Linked DNA regions of Lonchura striata. The protein of the gene in region 2 interacts with the protein of the main gene of each other region in a biochemical or structural test. Links are inferred from orthologs where the notes say so. Each region holds a gene or a part of one and is shown on either strand. Other genes may lie near its edges.

Region 1 (8,127 bases), on a different chromosome or scaffold from region 2:
CCGGTTGCTCTGGGAGCCACACCATTGGAAGATGTTCTGGGGAAAGGAGAAAGTCGTGTCAGAGCATGACAGCACCTCTCTAGGTGAGACAGGACTCAGCTGGGACTGGACTATGTCAGTGTTTCAGGATGCTCAGCACTGAGATGGCTTCAGCAGAGTGGGGGAAAATAAAACGTATGTGAAGGTCAGACACCTCCTGCCCCTTGAATTCTGCCACACCTGCCTTTGATGTGGTACTCACACTGCCCAGGTCCAGGATGAAACAGTCCCCAGTGTTGAAGCTGTCCCAGCTCACAGGGACCTCCGTGGCCCGGACTGTTCGCCTGCCTTTGACCTGCAGCAGCCTCTGCACAGTGACCTCGTTGGGAACCACGTGCCTGAAGCCAGAAGCCACACCACCAGCCTGGGGGGAAACACAGCAGCAAGGATTCATACCAGGACTGGGGGGAAGAGTGTATTCCCCTGTGTATAACTTGTCCTGCCTACCAGAAATTATCCCAAGCTCAGGATTCACTTTCTCTGCTGATAGACACTGGGAATTATTTATCGATGCAGGCAACAGGACCCATGTCAGTTATGCTCAAAAAAAGCACAACCAACTTTAAATGAATAAAAGTAACAACAAGCGAGTGGGAAATAAACAAAACAGAAAGATCAGGAAAGTCTCAGTCATGAGGAAGTGTGAGCACTTTGCAAGCATGTGACCTGATATCACTTTCCTTGTGCCTTTGGATTCTTAACAGACACAACTGCTTGACTGCATGTTTTCACTTCTATCCCACTTGATTGTGATGGCAGGGAGGAGTAACTCCCACTACTGTTCATCTCCTTTACCAAAACATTGCACATGCTGGCAGGGTGGGCTAAGCACAGAGACTGCAAGGTCAAACTGTTATGCAAGTGGGGAGAAATCAAATCTCCTGGGTAGGCGTTTCCCATTAACTTTGCTGCTTCTTAAATTCATTCCAGGTGCCTTGGGACTGTTCTTTCCTCTGCCTCTTGAAGAAAAACAAAACCTTGATTCCTAAAACTTTCTGGGGCTTTCCTTGTGTATTATTAATTCAGCCAAATTTCTCCCACTGGGATCTGCTGTTCTCCACCCTGTTGAGTTCCAACTCATTGAAAACATCTGGCTGAGAATGGGTTTTAAGCAACTGGAAAAAGGGCAAATCTCACTCTCCTGGGAATTGGGCAGGATGCCATTTCTTGCAAACTTGGGTCAGTTATCACCCACCTTGTATTTGATGCCAGATTTGAAGTAGCCCAGGAAGGTGGGGGACTCGTGGCCCTGCACCTCGCGGTGCTGCACAGCCTTCCCCTGCAGGTGCTCATCCATCTGCACAGTGAAGATGGCAGCAGCCCCACGCTCATCCTGAGAGCTTTCATCACCTGAAACATGGAAAGGGACACTGGGAGGGGATGCAGGCTCTGCCTCTGCATTCTACTGTGCAAACACAGGAGGAGAAAGCAGATTTAACTGTGATATTGTCAAAGAGCCTGGGGTTTGCAGGCTCTGTGACATGACAGCAGAGGGCACTTAGGAGAGGCAAAAATCCCACTCATCAGGAGGAACACACCTGACCTCCCTCCTTTCAGGCAAAAAGGATTTGAACCAGACTTCACCTGAGATCTTGCCTTCCCTGTGAACCTCTGCAGAACAGGGACTTGCCTGTCCTATTGCCAGGAAAAGCTGGTTTTAGGATCAGAGGTGGCTGTACTCTCTATTGCAGAGACCACACAAATATTTGACACGAGTAGGGCTATTTACCCCCAGCAGTGCATTCTCACTGTGCTGCTTTTTATTTCCTTGGGTAACGTTTCCTGGCCATGGTGGAGCAGAGGCTCAGGGGTCACTCTGGGTCCCAGCTCTGCAGGGACACTCCCAGCACTCACCCAACCAGAAGTGCAGGTCATACTGGAGGTTCCCGCTGCGCTGCTTGATGGTGTTCAGCACCAGGTAGGAATCTCCAGTGAAGAAGTCTCCATACAGGTTTTTTGGCACTGGCACCAAATCAAATTTCTCGACCCTCCAGATCTGAAGGCCGGGTTCCTTCCCAGCCTTCAAAAACTCGGCGTGTTCCACCATGCTGACAGGCTGGGGGTGAGACAGAGGGTGCTGTTCAGTGGGCAGGACACAAGGAAGTCTTTAAATTAAATTGCTTCTCATCTCCTAACTTGCTGTGCCAGCCAAAAAGTGGAAAGTTTCCTTTTTTTCTCATGCACTGAGTTTTAAAGGGGGGAAAAAATAAGGATGTGTGTGGAAAGAATCCCTCTCCATTGATCACTGTCAATTTTCACTTCCAATCATCTCTACTTCTTGGTTTATTACTGGCTTATCCTCTTCGAGACTCTTGTCCTCTCTCTCTGCATTTTAATCTCTGTATTTTTCTTACTAATTTATAACTTTTTAGTATGGCACATAAGTGAAGCTTGACATTCCAGGCTGTGGGAAAGAAAAATTTTGGAAAAATTTGCAAAAATATTTAGAAAACCAAATTGAAAATGCTGTGAATATCACTGAATATTTAGGTAATTAAGAGGTTTCTTAAAGCTCTTCTGTTCTGACCTGTTATTTTAACTCCTCCCTTGTAGGAATTACATTAATTTACACAACATCCTGCCCTAAGGACACTGCAATTTTGGTTTAATATGTTTATTGCCATACTTATGCAATATATCAACACAGTGCAATATCCTTTTTTTATTTTCGAACAAACATAATGAACACTTTCTTATAAAATAATTCACTTTGTTAATTCTGGAAGGAAATACAACATTTCTGGTGTATTGGCAATGAAGACTGTCCATTGATCACATCATGCCTTTGAGAGCTATCAGGTAACAGGGAAGAAAACATTACAATACTACATTAGAAGCATTCAGTACTTTGACAAAGAAGATGGTTCACAGCAGCTGATGGACAAAAGTAAAATATGCTCAGTTTTCAAGGCAGAAATAAAGAATGTTACAAGCTAGAAAGCAAAATAGTAAGTTAGGTATCAAAGTGATTCCTAAGCTGAAATCAGATATCAAAGATGGAAAAGAATTAACTTTATCACCATGATTCCAGCCTGCCTGAATCCTCCCAAATTCCCACTAAAACTGGGCAAACGCTGACAAAGAGTTGAAGGAGATGGATTCCTGTAAGTAGCTGGAAGCAGAAGTTTTTCAGCGTTTAATTGTGATGTCCATCACTTACCACAGCCGAAAGCACAAGAGCTGCTGTAACAACATATCCGAGCCCTGCCACAGACATGGAGCTGACAGAGCTCAGCTTCAGAGCCACTGTGCAGAAAATGGTGAGGAAAAGGTAACTCAAGTCCTTCCTGCCCATTTCTAGGAGCAAAGGGCTTCTCCCTGCTCCTGCCGAGCTGCGGGGAGTCCCAGCTCCCGGCTCCTCTGGCTGCTGGGGCAGATGAGGGGCAGAAGCCAATCTTTTATCGGGGACAAACACACCCACCCCCTCGGCAGCACAGGGGCGGAACGCGTTCGTGCAAACAATGCTGCTGGAACCGCCGAGCCTCTCCCGGAGCCCGGCAGGCGCTCGCTCGCACGAAGTGCGATCCATGACCGACAGCACAGCCAGGGTCACACGGGCCAAACGGCCCCTCACGGGCAGAAACTCAGAGACATCAGCAACACAGGCAGCATTTTGTCAGCTGAGAGCTGGGGAGTTGATGAGACGCAGAGGAGCAGCACGGCGGCTCCAGCTGGCAGGGAAAGACTTTGGGGAAGACAAGGATGGAGCTGAGCAGCCTGAGGATGGGGGATGCACCCTCAGCTCCCTGAAGCTGCCAGAGGAGCGGGGTTCAGCCCGTGAAGGAGGGCTGAATGAGCCCCGCACACCGCACCGGCAGGAACAATTCGGGAGGATTTGGGGAGGCACTGATGGATTTCAGCTCCCGGAGCACAACAGAGCATTCAGAGTCCTGTAGGTGACAGAACAAAAGCTCATTCAGCAATTCAATAATTTCACAACCAAGTATTTCTGAGGGTGTAGCAACACCCTGTGACAGGAACACAAGAGCCATCAAACCTACTCAGCCCAAAGGAATTACAACAGGGCTGATTGTAGCACCCCAACAATCTGCCACCAATAAAGAGATTACTCTTCCAATACCTCACACTGCAGCAAGTTCAACTATCACGTTCTCCAAGTGTTTGCAGCGAGTGAAGTGAGCAGGAGCCTTTCCCTGTGGCCCTCAGGAACTGAGCAGCCACACAATGTGGAGTCCTGCCACTGGGCTCTGAACACACCCAGGGGACAATTCCTGACAGGCTGAGCTTTCCACGGTCAGAATCTCTCAAAAGATTCTTAAATAAGGGGCCAAACCCTCCACCCATAAAACTCCACAATAAAACTTCCAGGAAGGAAAGAGCAGACCCTGCTTTGTGCTTTCTCCACTCTCCATGAGGGTATTTTCTTTCCCTCTCTCCCAAGAGCACTCTGTTGCTCTCTTGTGCAAGCTGATGCATTTTAATTTGAACTGTCACCTTGGCAATGTACCTTTGAAAATCTCACTGGAAAGTCTCAAACTGAAACGGACAATAAAAACAATGTGCTAGTCCTGTTGGTATTTCTGATCTCTGTGAAGGAAGTTCAGAGTGTCAGAGGTCTAAGTCTCACTGAAAAACATGTTGGAACCTTGACTCTAAGAAAGGCAGCTGTGAAAGGCTTTGGCAGCTGCAGCAAACCCAAACCAAAATGACTGTGTTGCATAACATTAGAAAGAGATAGGTCCTTTCCAAATGGAAAAATACTCTGGACTTTTTATTTCTAAATTAAATACCTGTATAGTCCCACATCTGGGCAAACCTCACAGACTGAAGGCACAAAGACCCAGGATAATCTCCTTCATTAACATCCCACTGTAGGATATTGTAATTCACAGATATATGCAGGCACAATATCTTTGAAAAAACATTTATTTAGTCTCCTAATTAATTTGGCATTTTGTAAGCCCAAGCTTGCATTGCCAATTAACTGCAATATATAAATAGAGGCAAAAAACTGAGAGAGGGCTACAGTGCATAAATTGCATATTTCTTTCATAAAATTAATTAATCTGAGCCATTCCTGAAGGGAATAGGTGTAAATCTACCCCAGCAGCTGGTTTGGGTTATCACTGCTGGCAGCAAGTGTTGCATTGTTAAATCAAGCCCCAGAAATGTTTACCCTGGACATTGTTCTAAGGGCACTTGCCAGCTGAGATCGCCAGGGCTCTACTGAAAAGGGTGTCCGGATGGAGACATGGAAAGCAGGCACTTTTCAAAGCTGCTGTTAATAAAAGTGTCCAGCTTGGTCCCAGAAATGGTGCTATGCACAGCCAACCTCTTATGCAAAGGAAAGTTGTTTAAGGAAAACAAGGAAAGTGCTTGAAATACAGGATTTCAGTGCAGATGGATCGGCTAAATGACACTTGGCTTCATAGTGATGAAAACAAGAACTTGGGGAAAAATAGTCCAACGATTTGAGCAACCACTGGAAGACAACAAGCTCATTATGGTCTCCAGATGTGCGGTCACACCAGCAGGACAGGCCAGCCCAGGAATGCCCTGGGAGGGAGTCAGGCCTGCAGGAACAATCCCAGGGATTTACTGCTGGGCACCCAACAGGAAAAGCTCACACTGACAAAGTCCGTGTGGGGCCCACAGACCACGGGCAGCCTGGAGCTGCTGCTCCAGGGAAGCAGCAGTGATCTCCCGAGGCTGGAGGCTGTTTGCTCCGGGGGAAGGCCAGGAAAGGCAGAGAGGCCCCAGGGCAATCCCGGGCGTGCTGTGCATCCTCTGGGCAAGCCCTGAGCGCTGCTGCAGCTCCCACCGCCTCCCACCCGGGACTCAGCTCCTGGCTCCTGGTACCCAAAGCACCTTTCCTACTTCCAGCCTGCAGCTTGTAACACACAGCTCTCTTTGCCTCCCTCCCTAAATTCTTCATCTCTGCTCTGCTCACTCATCCCTGTGGCCGTGCCTCCCTCTCAGCTGTGACAGTCTCCTCTGCCCTCCCACCCTGACACCAGCAGCACTTTGGCTGTTTGTCTTCACTCTCCTCTGAATTTCTGCCAAGGAGCTGCCCAGTTCTGCACTGCCCAGCACAGCCATGCTGAGAGGAATCTCCTGTTCCCTTCAGGAAAAACCTGCAGACACTGAGCCTGGAATCTCTTACTCTGCCTCACCACACTGCAAAATCCATAATTAATAATAATATTTAATGTGTGGTTCCTCCACGTCAAATCCACTCTCACATCTTCACGCCTACCACCATCTAAAGCTTAATGATGTTGCTAAACTCACTTTCTACAAGATAATATCACCCAATACTCACAGCAGGGAAAGAAAGAAAAAAAATCTTTATTTCATTTGGCAACTGGCTACTAACAAGAGAAAAATGAGCACATTTTTTGTGAGGCCCAGTTGTAATAGTTTGTGGCAATTCATATTTGTAATAATTTGTGGCAATTCATGCCTGAATATACCCACAAATATAGTCAGGACTTACCTGCACAGGGCTGCTCAGGAAAGCTTGGCTGAATTAAATGAGACAGAAACAAGGGTAGCCCACATCCCCATGTGGTTGTGCTCATTTGCAGCTCCGGCGTCGACTCGTGATGGGTTCAGATAATTTGTCTAAATCTGCTGCATAAACAAAACCCACACAGGAAGGGCTGCAGCCAACACAACATTTCACCACAGAGCATCCAAACCACCTGCTGCTCACTGCTGGATCAATTCCTGCCTTTCTACATGGCAAAGGCTGTATTTTTGATTTTAATGGATGACACTTGCAGAACATCAAAATAACTTGCAAATACAGACTGAGTTTCTTAAACATGAGAACAGTAAATCTGAGTAGAGTCTGTATCCACACTACAGTCATGCTGCAAAAATGCCCCTCATATACCAATCCTTATTGTACCTTGGGGGCAAACATTTGCATTTCCACCCAACTAACTCTCTCTTTCCTTTTATTTATTTGCCAAACATTGCCTGGAGAATATGAACTGCTCCAAATAAACAACAATATATGTTCTCAAAAAAGAAAGCCTCCCTTATCTCACAGCATTCCAGGCTGCCTGTACCAAGAGCCAGAAGAGGTAAATTACTGCTGTATTGCTGCTGCAACAACAGGAAAACCCTAAATCCTTGTTTTGCAAGAGGCAAAGGGGTATAATCTCCCTGGCATGATCAGTCTGAGGAAATCTACAGGTTGTGCTTGCCACAGTAACAGCCCAGAGCAAGGGCTGCGTTCCCCAGGTCTATAACAGCGATGCTGAAGAGATCACAGGAACAAAAACCCAATCAAGTTATCTCCTTGCTTCAGGTTCAGCCCTTTGTGCACTTTGGACACAATCTACACTGTCTGACTGCCCATGCAGCCATTTCTTTACTCTGTGATCTGCTGCTGCCCCATAAAAACTCTGATGGATTTACAAAGCTTGTGAGGGTGAGCAGCACAGAACCACTTGAGTTCTGACAATCCAAAACTCAGGACGTGATGCTGCTGAACACAAAGAAAGTTCAGCACAGGATCCACAGTGATGACAGCACACCCTGAAAATGGAAATATTTGTTTATTCCTTCAGCTTCCCTGCCAAACCAGTATAGAATATCAGTAATTCTTCAGTAAACCATTGAAAATAACTCTGGCAGGACTGCAGCTTTGTAACCAAGGGGACAGCATTGAAAAATATCTAAAGTGATGGATTAGCTGAGTTTTCAGTCTCCAGACAGCCCTAAACTCATATATACATAAAACTAAACCCTGCCCCTTTCCTTCCATCCCTTGAAGCAGCCAGTAAACAAAGATTATTTGGAATAAGAAAAAACTGGCATGGGAGAGCCTCCTCCTCCCCAGCCATGGTGACTCCATAAACTATTTCAGCTCTCAGCATGAGGAGCAGCACAATTAATGGCATTCCCTGCAGCTACATCTTAACAGAAAAGCCACAAATCCAAAAAAAAAATCAAGCTGCCTAACTCAGATCAAGAGTCCAGGACATGAAGTCCAGCATTAGCTATGCAACTGGCAAGTAGGTTTTTTGCATTTGTTAAATTAAAATTCCTACAAAACCACTTGAGCAAGTTAGAAGGCCCAGAAGATTTGAGTATTGTTCACTTTTTCCAGCTGTT
Region 2 (7,782 bases):
AAGGTTAGTAAATACTAGAGAACTATAAACAGATACTTTTCCACACTCAGTAGCATCTAGTTTTAATTTTGAACATAATTCTAATTTCATTTACACAGGTAAAACTGTGAAGCTCTTCTTTGCTATGCAGTAATGTAAACGGTTTTCTCTTTGAACTCTTGTTTTTTTCTGATCAATATCAAGTGCATCTAAAGGGAGGAGGAACAATGTCCTGAAAGAAGCAGCCTCATGGACATGATGGCAGTATAAGCTTTATGGGCAAATATTCTTCAGACATTATGTTGTTTAGATCCAAAAATAGAAATCTGATAAGAAAATAGAAAAAAACCTACTGCCAAGCCAGTGAGAACCCATTTTGGAAAAGAGGCTGTTAGGATTACTTAAATACCTGAAACAGGTATGGAGAAAAACACAATACTTTCTTTTAAAAGAGCAATCAATTTAAAAAGTGTTAAACTGAAAACAGAGGATACCTTTCAAACAATTTTTATTTGGCTAATCACGTCTAATCATCTGAACTTGCTACTCAGATGCCATTGGAGAGTTGTATTGTTTTTATTTAGTCTCTGCCTCTTCTTTATCTCTTTTTCTTATCAATTTTTCCTCCTCTTTCTTCCTACTCATTCTCACTACCTTCCCATTCTCCTGCCCACCCTGACAGCTTGTTCATCTTGAGGAGGAACAAATTTATCACTACAATGTTCCCAAAAAGCACTTTTACTGTTCAAAGTCAACACCACATATCAACTTGTATGTTAGAACAGAACTAGTACTTCTTAGAGATACTTCCAGTGCAACATGACCTACAAAGACAAAAAAAACCAAAACTTGCTCTTTCAGGATTGGGAATAAAAAGATCTTGTAAACTGATAAAGATTTCATTCCCAACAGCAATTTTAAATGATGTTCAATCTTGAAAGTATATAAAGAGTAGAGACATTCACCTAACACGTAATATACCTCTTGGCAGGTTTTTACATAAGAAAAAGCTTCAGCCTGTCGTGAAAATATTTTCCAAACAGAGGATGGCATAGAGGGTTTGGAAAGTCTTGGTCTATAAACTGTAGGAAGAGGATTTCTTTCATAGTGAGATGCTAGTTCTTCCACCTTCTTCAGTCTTTCTTGCCATTTTCTCTTCATTTCTTCTAAAGCAATTACAGATAGTCAAATCAGTATCAATCTGTTTGCAAGGCAATTTTAATTTCAATCTATCCTGTACTCCTCACTGCTTTTGATTCTGATTTTGTTGAATGTAATTTATTAATTAACTGGGAGTAGCCAATGTTCCAAATCAACACCTAACCTTGCTATGATACTCATTTTAATATTAAATGTCTCTACACTGTTTTGGGAGTACAAAAGCTTCATATTAACACTTATCAAAGATAAACACAACAGAATAAAGACAGTGAAAGAAGGCCTAGGAATTTTCATTTTGGTCTACAGAATGGTATTACACTCCTCAGAAAGTATACAAACTGTTGACTAGGCACATAACGTTAGTAAGGAGTAAAATAATACTAAAAGTAAAAAAATATTTTTCCTTTGTGGTTGAGGAGACAAATGAGATCATTTCTACGGGTAGTATAATATTTGAGTTCATAGGAGGAGTTAAGACTTCAGTGACTTTAGCTCTGAGCTCTGTATCTTAAAGTATAAGAAACGAAATCCAAAATGAGAGTTCCATTCTCCATGCTGGCCTTTGCTATTGATCACTCATACTTTCACCTGCTTTAAAAGCTCATGTACTTTTCACAACCTTACAGCAGCAATCTTATCTCTTTTCAAGAAATAGAGCCATGCAGTAACTCTTGCTATCTTGCAACCTTTAAGTTTCCAGTCCCATAAAGTAATCCAAATGATGCAGAGTAATGTAGTAAAGCATAAACACATTTATGTACAACTATCTGTAAGTGGAACACCAGGAAATCAGTAAAAAGCACTGCCAGGAAACTGTGAAACAGAGGAAGAGAGGCAAGAAGTAACAAACACAAAGGGGAATCTTCTTGTTCTGCCCAGCATAACCACTTCATTCTTCTAACAGCTCCTGGGCTGCAGTGAAAGATAAAAATGAAACTGAGTGTACTCAAAGGTATTCAAACCTTTAACAAGCTGGATCCACAAGGCAAATTTAAGTATTTAAATATTCTTGTGGAGCCCTGAAGCCCAAATTTTAGATCCTCTCATTTCCCCCTCCAGGTTTTCCATAGCAAATCTTCCTGGAACAGTTACATTTCTGCCCACTGTTGAAGCCTGCCAATGTCTTGATAGTCAGTGCCTGAATGAAGTCTAAGTAACAGAATGTTTTTTCTGTAACAGGGGTCAAACATATTACCTCTATCCCCCTTGTCCATCTTCTGACCTGTGCATTTTCTTCACTCCTTTTCTATGCTCTTAGTTTCTTCTCTGGGAATTAAAAGTTAGATTATAGATAGCAATCAGCATTTCTCAGAAGTGCTAACAAAACTTTCAGTTTCATTTTGGCGCTGCTGGCTGTAAATTAACTAGGTGCAAAAGAAATCCCTACATCAGCATTTTCCCACAAGGTGACCATTAAAAAATGAAAGCAAAGGAGAAGCCCCATAATTCTTTATTAATTTTAAACTTTCTAGTTACATTAGGCCGTATTTTTGCAGAAACACAGCTGGGAGGACCTGAACCTGGGAGAAGAGTGATGACCCTTACTTTCAACTGAAACTATCATGGTTCTTGCAGTCCAAACACTCGATATCTCAAGAGTCCAACATGTCAAGTCTTTTCAAGGCAATTTCAATTCCTGTGTGAGCTATAACACAACACATCTACTTAGAGCACATACAGTTAACACAGATCAGCCTTCTGAGTTCACTGGGAAATTCTCACTTCATCTTCCTCTCTTATGTCCCACCAGAAGTAAGGGCAGTACTTATTTTTGTTTGACTTGACTGAAAGAAATCTTGTCACAAACATGTTTGGACTTCAGTGTTATTGACTCAGCAGGATGACTGCATGAAGAGCCTGGAAAAAATGTCTCCTGAGCAATGATTTAAAGAACTTGCTGTTTAATTTTCTCTATTTTATGGAAGACTATTCTCCCTTTACTTCTTATAACAGCAAAACGTATTACACACACCTGCAGCTCAGACATGCAAATCAACTGCTACTCAAAATAACATTACACTTGTTTCCTGGCTGGTGTGTACCATGCAACATAGTTCTATGGCAGAGTTCATGGTCCTTGACAAAAATAAATCCATGAGATTTTCTCCCAGCTACTGATTCAGCCTTAGAAGAACACATTAAATTCCTTAACATTAGTGAAAATTAGCTATCCTTACATTCATCTGATGAATGTCACATTAACAAACGCTACTCATCTTCCCAATAACAAATGTTCATCTTGCCCTCCTAATAGAGGAAGTTGCCTCTACATTTACAGAATCACAGGATGGCTCAGGTTGGAAGGGACTACAATGGGTCATCTGGTCCAACTTCCCTGCTCAAGCGGGGTCATCCTAGAGCACATGGCACAGGATTGTGTCCAGTCAGTTCCTGAGTATTTCCAGTGGGGAAGACTCCACAACTCCTCTGGACAACCTGTTCCTCAAATTAAGATTGCAAGTGCAAAACTCAGTAGATCAGACCTGGTGATAAGACCTGAAAAAGTAGGTTAGTACCTGTTATCAGAAGCTGGAATACATAGCTTCCAATGTTATCTGACTTCTGATACTGAAGGTCAGTGTACAGATATGAAACTAACTGACCTGAAAGTTGATGAAGCCAAAATCAGGCCTCAGCGTCAGAGCGCTGTTGTTCTGCGAGGCAGGTCTGTGGGCAGCCAGGGACAGCCACCACGCAGGTGGGTGAAAACCCTGTCCAAGGGAAGGTACTGCCATGGTACAAGCCAGCTCATCCATGGGGATCTCGCTCACTGAGGTCAAGAGGGGGGGCTGCTCATTTAGTTATTGTCCCCACAGATTGCTCTAGATGGCCATTTCCTTTACAAACCACCATTCTGTCAGAATCACAGAACAGTCTGAGTTGCCACCGCCAACAGTCACACCATGTACCTGAGAATGTTGTCGAAATGCTCCTTGAACTCTGTCACACTTGGTGCTGTGACCAGTTCCCTGGGAGCCTGTTCCATTGCCCAACCACCCTATGGGTGATGTACCTTTTCCTATTATCCCACCTCAACCTCCCTTCACACATCTTCAGGCTGTTCCCTCGGGTCCTGTCACTGGTCACCACAGAGAAGGATCAGTGCCTGCTCACAAGGATGCTGAAGACCACAATGAGGTCTCCCCGTAGCCTCCCCTTCTCCAGGCTGAACAGACTAAGTGACCTCAGCTGCTCCTCCTATGGTTTCCCAACGAGGAAATGCCCTTCACCATCCTCAGGGTGCCCAGAACTGCACACAGCATTTAATATGAGGCCGCACCAACATGGTGTAATATACTAGAACGCTACATTTGTTTCAGCAGGCAGAGGAACTCAAGCAACAGCGCATCGTTCACACCCAAGAGCAGCAAGGACAGCCGTACCCGGCTCAGCGCTCCGAGCGCGGTGGCTCCGCCACAGGGCCCGGCCCCGCGAGCTCTGCCAGCAGAGCAGAGCAGAGCAGCCACCCCGTGCCTCCCCAGCGCGGCCTCGCACGTCTCCCTCCCGCCGGCAGAGCCCGCAGAGCCCGCCGAGCTGAGCCCGCCGGGCCCGCGCCGCTCCCCCGGCCCGACTCACGGCCCGCGCCGCCGCCGCCGCCGGTGCGCGCCGCCCGCCCAGCGCGGGGCGGGGCCAGCGCGGCGCCGGCGGGCCGGGCGGCGGCGGCGGGGCTTTCTGTGCTCGGGGCAGCGCTCGGCTGAGCGGCGCTCGGGAAAACGCGGCTCAGAGCGCAGCGAGCAGCCGGTGAGTGAAGCCGGTGAGGGGCATTGGTGCCGGGAAGCGGCGGTGCCGGGATGCGGGCGCGGCGGCGGAGCCGAACAAAGCCGTGGGGGTGGGGGTGGACCAAGCTGTGGCTCTCCAGGGCCGCGTGGCCGCCAGCATTTGTCCCGGAGGAAGTCGGCAGCGGGGAGCAGGAGGGGAGCCGCGTTTGGCCGGGGCGGGCCGGGCTGAGCGCGCCGTTCCCCCGTCTGCCCGCCGGGCTCCCGGCCCCGCAGGCCCGGCGCTCGGGCGGTGCTGGGGCGGGTGAGCCCCGGCCTGGCCCTCGGGCCAGGCGGGAGAGAGCGCCCGCGGCTCCATCCCAGCGCCCGCGGCTCCATCCCAGCGCCCGCCGTGCCATCCCAGCGCCCGCGGCGCCATCCCAGCGCCCGCGGCTCCATCCCAGCGCCCGCGGCTCCATCCCAGCGCCCGCGGTGCCCATCCCAGCGCCCGCGGTGCCCATCCCAGCGCCCGCGGTGCCCATCCCAGCGCCCGCGGCTCCATCCCAGCGCCCGCCGTGCCCATCCCAGCGCCCGCCGTGCCCATCCCAGCGCCCGCCGTGCCCATCCCAGCGCCCGCGGCTCCATCTCAGCCCCCGCCGCTTCCCCTGCCCGGGGGCAGAGCCCGGGCCTCCGGTGTTAGCTTTCCAGAAGCTTAAGGTAGCGAGTTTGTTCCCTTTCAGCCTGTCTTTGTGGGGACGCTGTAGAAACAGAGGGCAAAGAGAAGGGGAAAAAAAAGGCGCTGTAATTCTGAGCTGCTCTCTGGTGACCACTCGGTGGACCATTAACCGGAAACACGGGGTCAGAAGCTGTATTTGGATCTTCCGAAACAAAGCGTGTTAAACCTCGTCTGTACTGACGAAAAGCATGCCTGGGGTCCTGGCAGGCACTGTGGCTAACTTTTGGTAGCAGGCAACACGCCCTGACGTGTGTTGTGTCCTGCCTGTTCCCTGCTGGGCTGAAGGATAGGGCTGGCCATCTATCGTCTGTCTGTCTTTTACTCTGTAACTCAGAGCTCTCTCCTTCAGGTATCTGCTTGCCAGGGGGTAGGTTTCAAACTAGCACACCGTGCCCTTCATGTTAAGGAGCTGATATGGCTGTTGCTTATAGCAGTGTGATTATATATATATATAGATGTGATTAATAGCTACAGGTAAATTAATAACTCCAAGGTCCCTTCTACACTTGGAGTAATTTCAGCTGATTTTACAGCTTCATGCTGAGTACCTAAAAGTCTGTTTGTTGTGGAAGATCAGAATGCTGGCCCAGTGTCAGGACTTTCCAGCAACTACATCCAGACCAGAAGCAATGGGAAAAGCTGTCTCAGTATGGGCCTGCTTCCATCTTTGGTAGCAGTATTTAGCAGGGGGATAGTGTCTCACAGAAAATGTAATGCTGTATTTCAGATGTTTTTTGTTTTTTCATATAGTCTGCTTCTGTATCTTCCTTCTCTTATTAGTCAGATAATTATTGTTTAGCATTATACATTGTAGAGGGGAAGATTTTTAATTTGCATGTCTGCATTAGTATCATGATATGTCATGTATATGTTTGTCTACAAAAAATACCTTCTTTAAATGCTTGACATTTTCTCTTGCATTCATGTGATGTAGAAAACTGCCCTTTTCCTATCTTTAAGAAGATGTTTTACATTGCTGATGTCTGTTTTGAGCATGTTTTAGCAGTGCTATACTCATTGCTTTGTAGCAACAGATATATTCTGAACATGTGTTGTTTCCTGTGGTTTGCATATTTCAGGATCCAGTTGGTAACTAAAGACAGTTTAGTTATTTGCTTTCTCCCATCTCGGAAGCTTTGGTATTTTTATCACTATATATTTTTATCACATTTCTGTTGTTCTCATTTCAAAGAAATATTGCTTTAAAAAGAAAAAACTGATGGTTTTTATGGCCACCATAAGTAACCATGTGGTAACACATGATGATGTGAATTAATTTTCTTTAGGTCCAGGTGGAATAAGTAAATCCAGGCTGCAATGGAGTAAAAAGTTGTTTTATTTATTGTTTTCCTGTCAAAAGAAAAGTATTGGAATAACTACATTTATGTAGGGGAAAAAATCTTTTTGCTCTTATTGCTGTACAGAGATGAATTGGTCATTTCTTGGTAGCTTGCAGAACATAGCTTTGAACCTTTTTGAGACACTTTATTTCTTATTACCTAGTATATGTAAAGATCATTGTAGCATCACCTTTATGTTTGCTGTCTCTGTATCATGTTTTTTTTTAATTGTATTTTTTTTCAGACTCACTATTATAAAATAAGCTTCCTAAAATCTACAGAATATATTTTGCTAGATTATAAAAATGCTATTGCTCTTTTTAATAACTTGTTTATATTTCCTTACACTTGAAACCTCGTTTTACCTAAGCTTTCAGAGAAAATATCAAAGAGCAGCATAAAAATTTGTAATAAATTTTTAAAGCACTGCAATGATTTCTTCCCCCCACACCTCCCCTCACCAGGATGAGATCATCCTCCACAGGGAAATGCATGGCATCACTGCATTACCTAAAGCAAGATGAGGCAATTCTTACTGGCCTGTTAGAATCAGCAGCATCCTCCAGAGAGCATTGCTGTGACCCTGCTTCAGAGCACAAAATGCCCTGCTGATTCAGGCACGCATTTGAGTGCCTAGGGTGTCTTTTGTTCTTTAAAGAAGTGCAGGTGACCTGGTGCCTGAGGGTGCTCAGGAACTGATGGATATTAAAAGTGAGTTATGGATTCTGTTCTGAAGAGAAACTATGCACATTTCAAATACTTAACGTGTTATAACCAGTTTTTCTAGATAATCCCTATAGCTTCTGTAAAGTCTCTGAGACAAGCTCCAGTTGTGATGGAGTGCAGGAAGCTCTAACACTTCACTGAACAA

Evidence for each region.
Region 1: of the proteins of CASP3 (region 2) and GSN, one has a biochemical effect on the other in vitro, tested with the Homo sapiens proteins (2 studies listed by BioGRID). The link is inferred for Lonchura striata from reciprocal best matches to the Homo sapiens genes CASP3 and GSN.

The regions. Positions count from the first base shown.
Region 1 is NC_134624.1:9,498,488-9,506,614, reverse strand, and holds the start of GSN (gelsolin), read right to left. Parts: upstream 3,399-8,127; 5' UTR 3,335-3,398; coding exon 3,200-3,334; intron 2,096-3,199; coding exon 1,894-2,095; intron 1,390-1,893; coding exon 1,235-1,389; intron 404-1,234; coding exon 242-403; intron 37-241; coding exon 1-36. UniProt on the Homo sapiens protein: Calcium-regulated, actin-modulating protein that binds to the plus (or barbed) ends of actin monomers or filaments, preventing monomer exchange (end-blocking or capping).
Region 2 is NC_134606.1:31,973,337-31,981,118, forward strand, and holds the start of CASP3 (caspase-3), read left to right. Parts: upstream 1-4,769; 5' UTR 4,770-4,881; intron 4,882-7,782. Other genes in the region: PRIMPOL (DNA-directed primase/polymerase protein), read right to left, coding at 961-1,145, 2,336-2,354. UniProt on the Homo sapiens protein: Thiol protease that acts as a major effector caspase involved in the execution phase of apoptosis. Following cleavage and activation by initiator caspases (CASP8, CASP9 and/or CASP10), mediates execution of apoptosis by catalyzing cleavage of many proteins.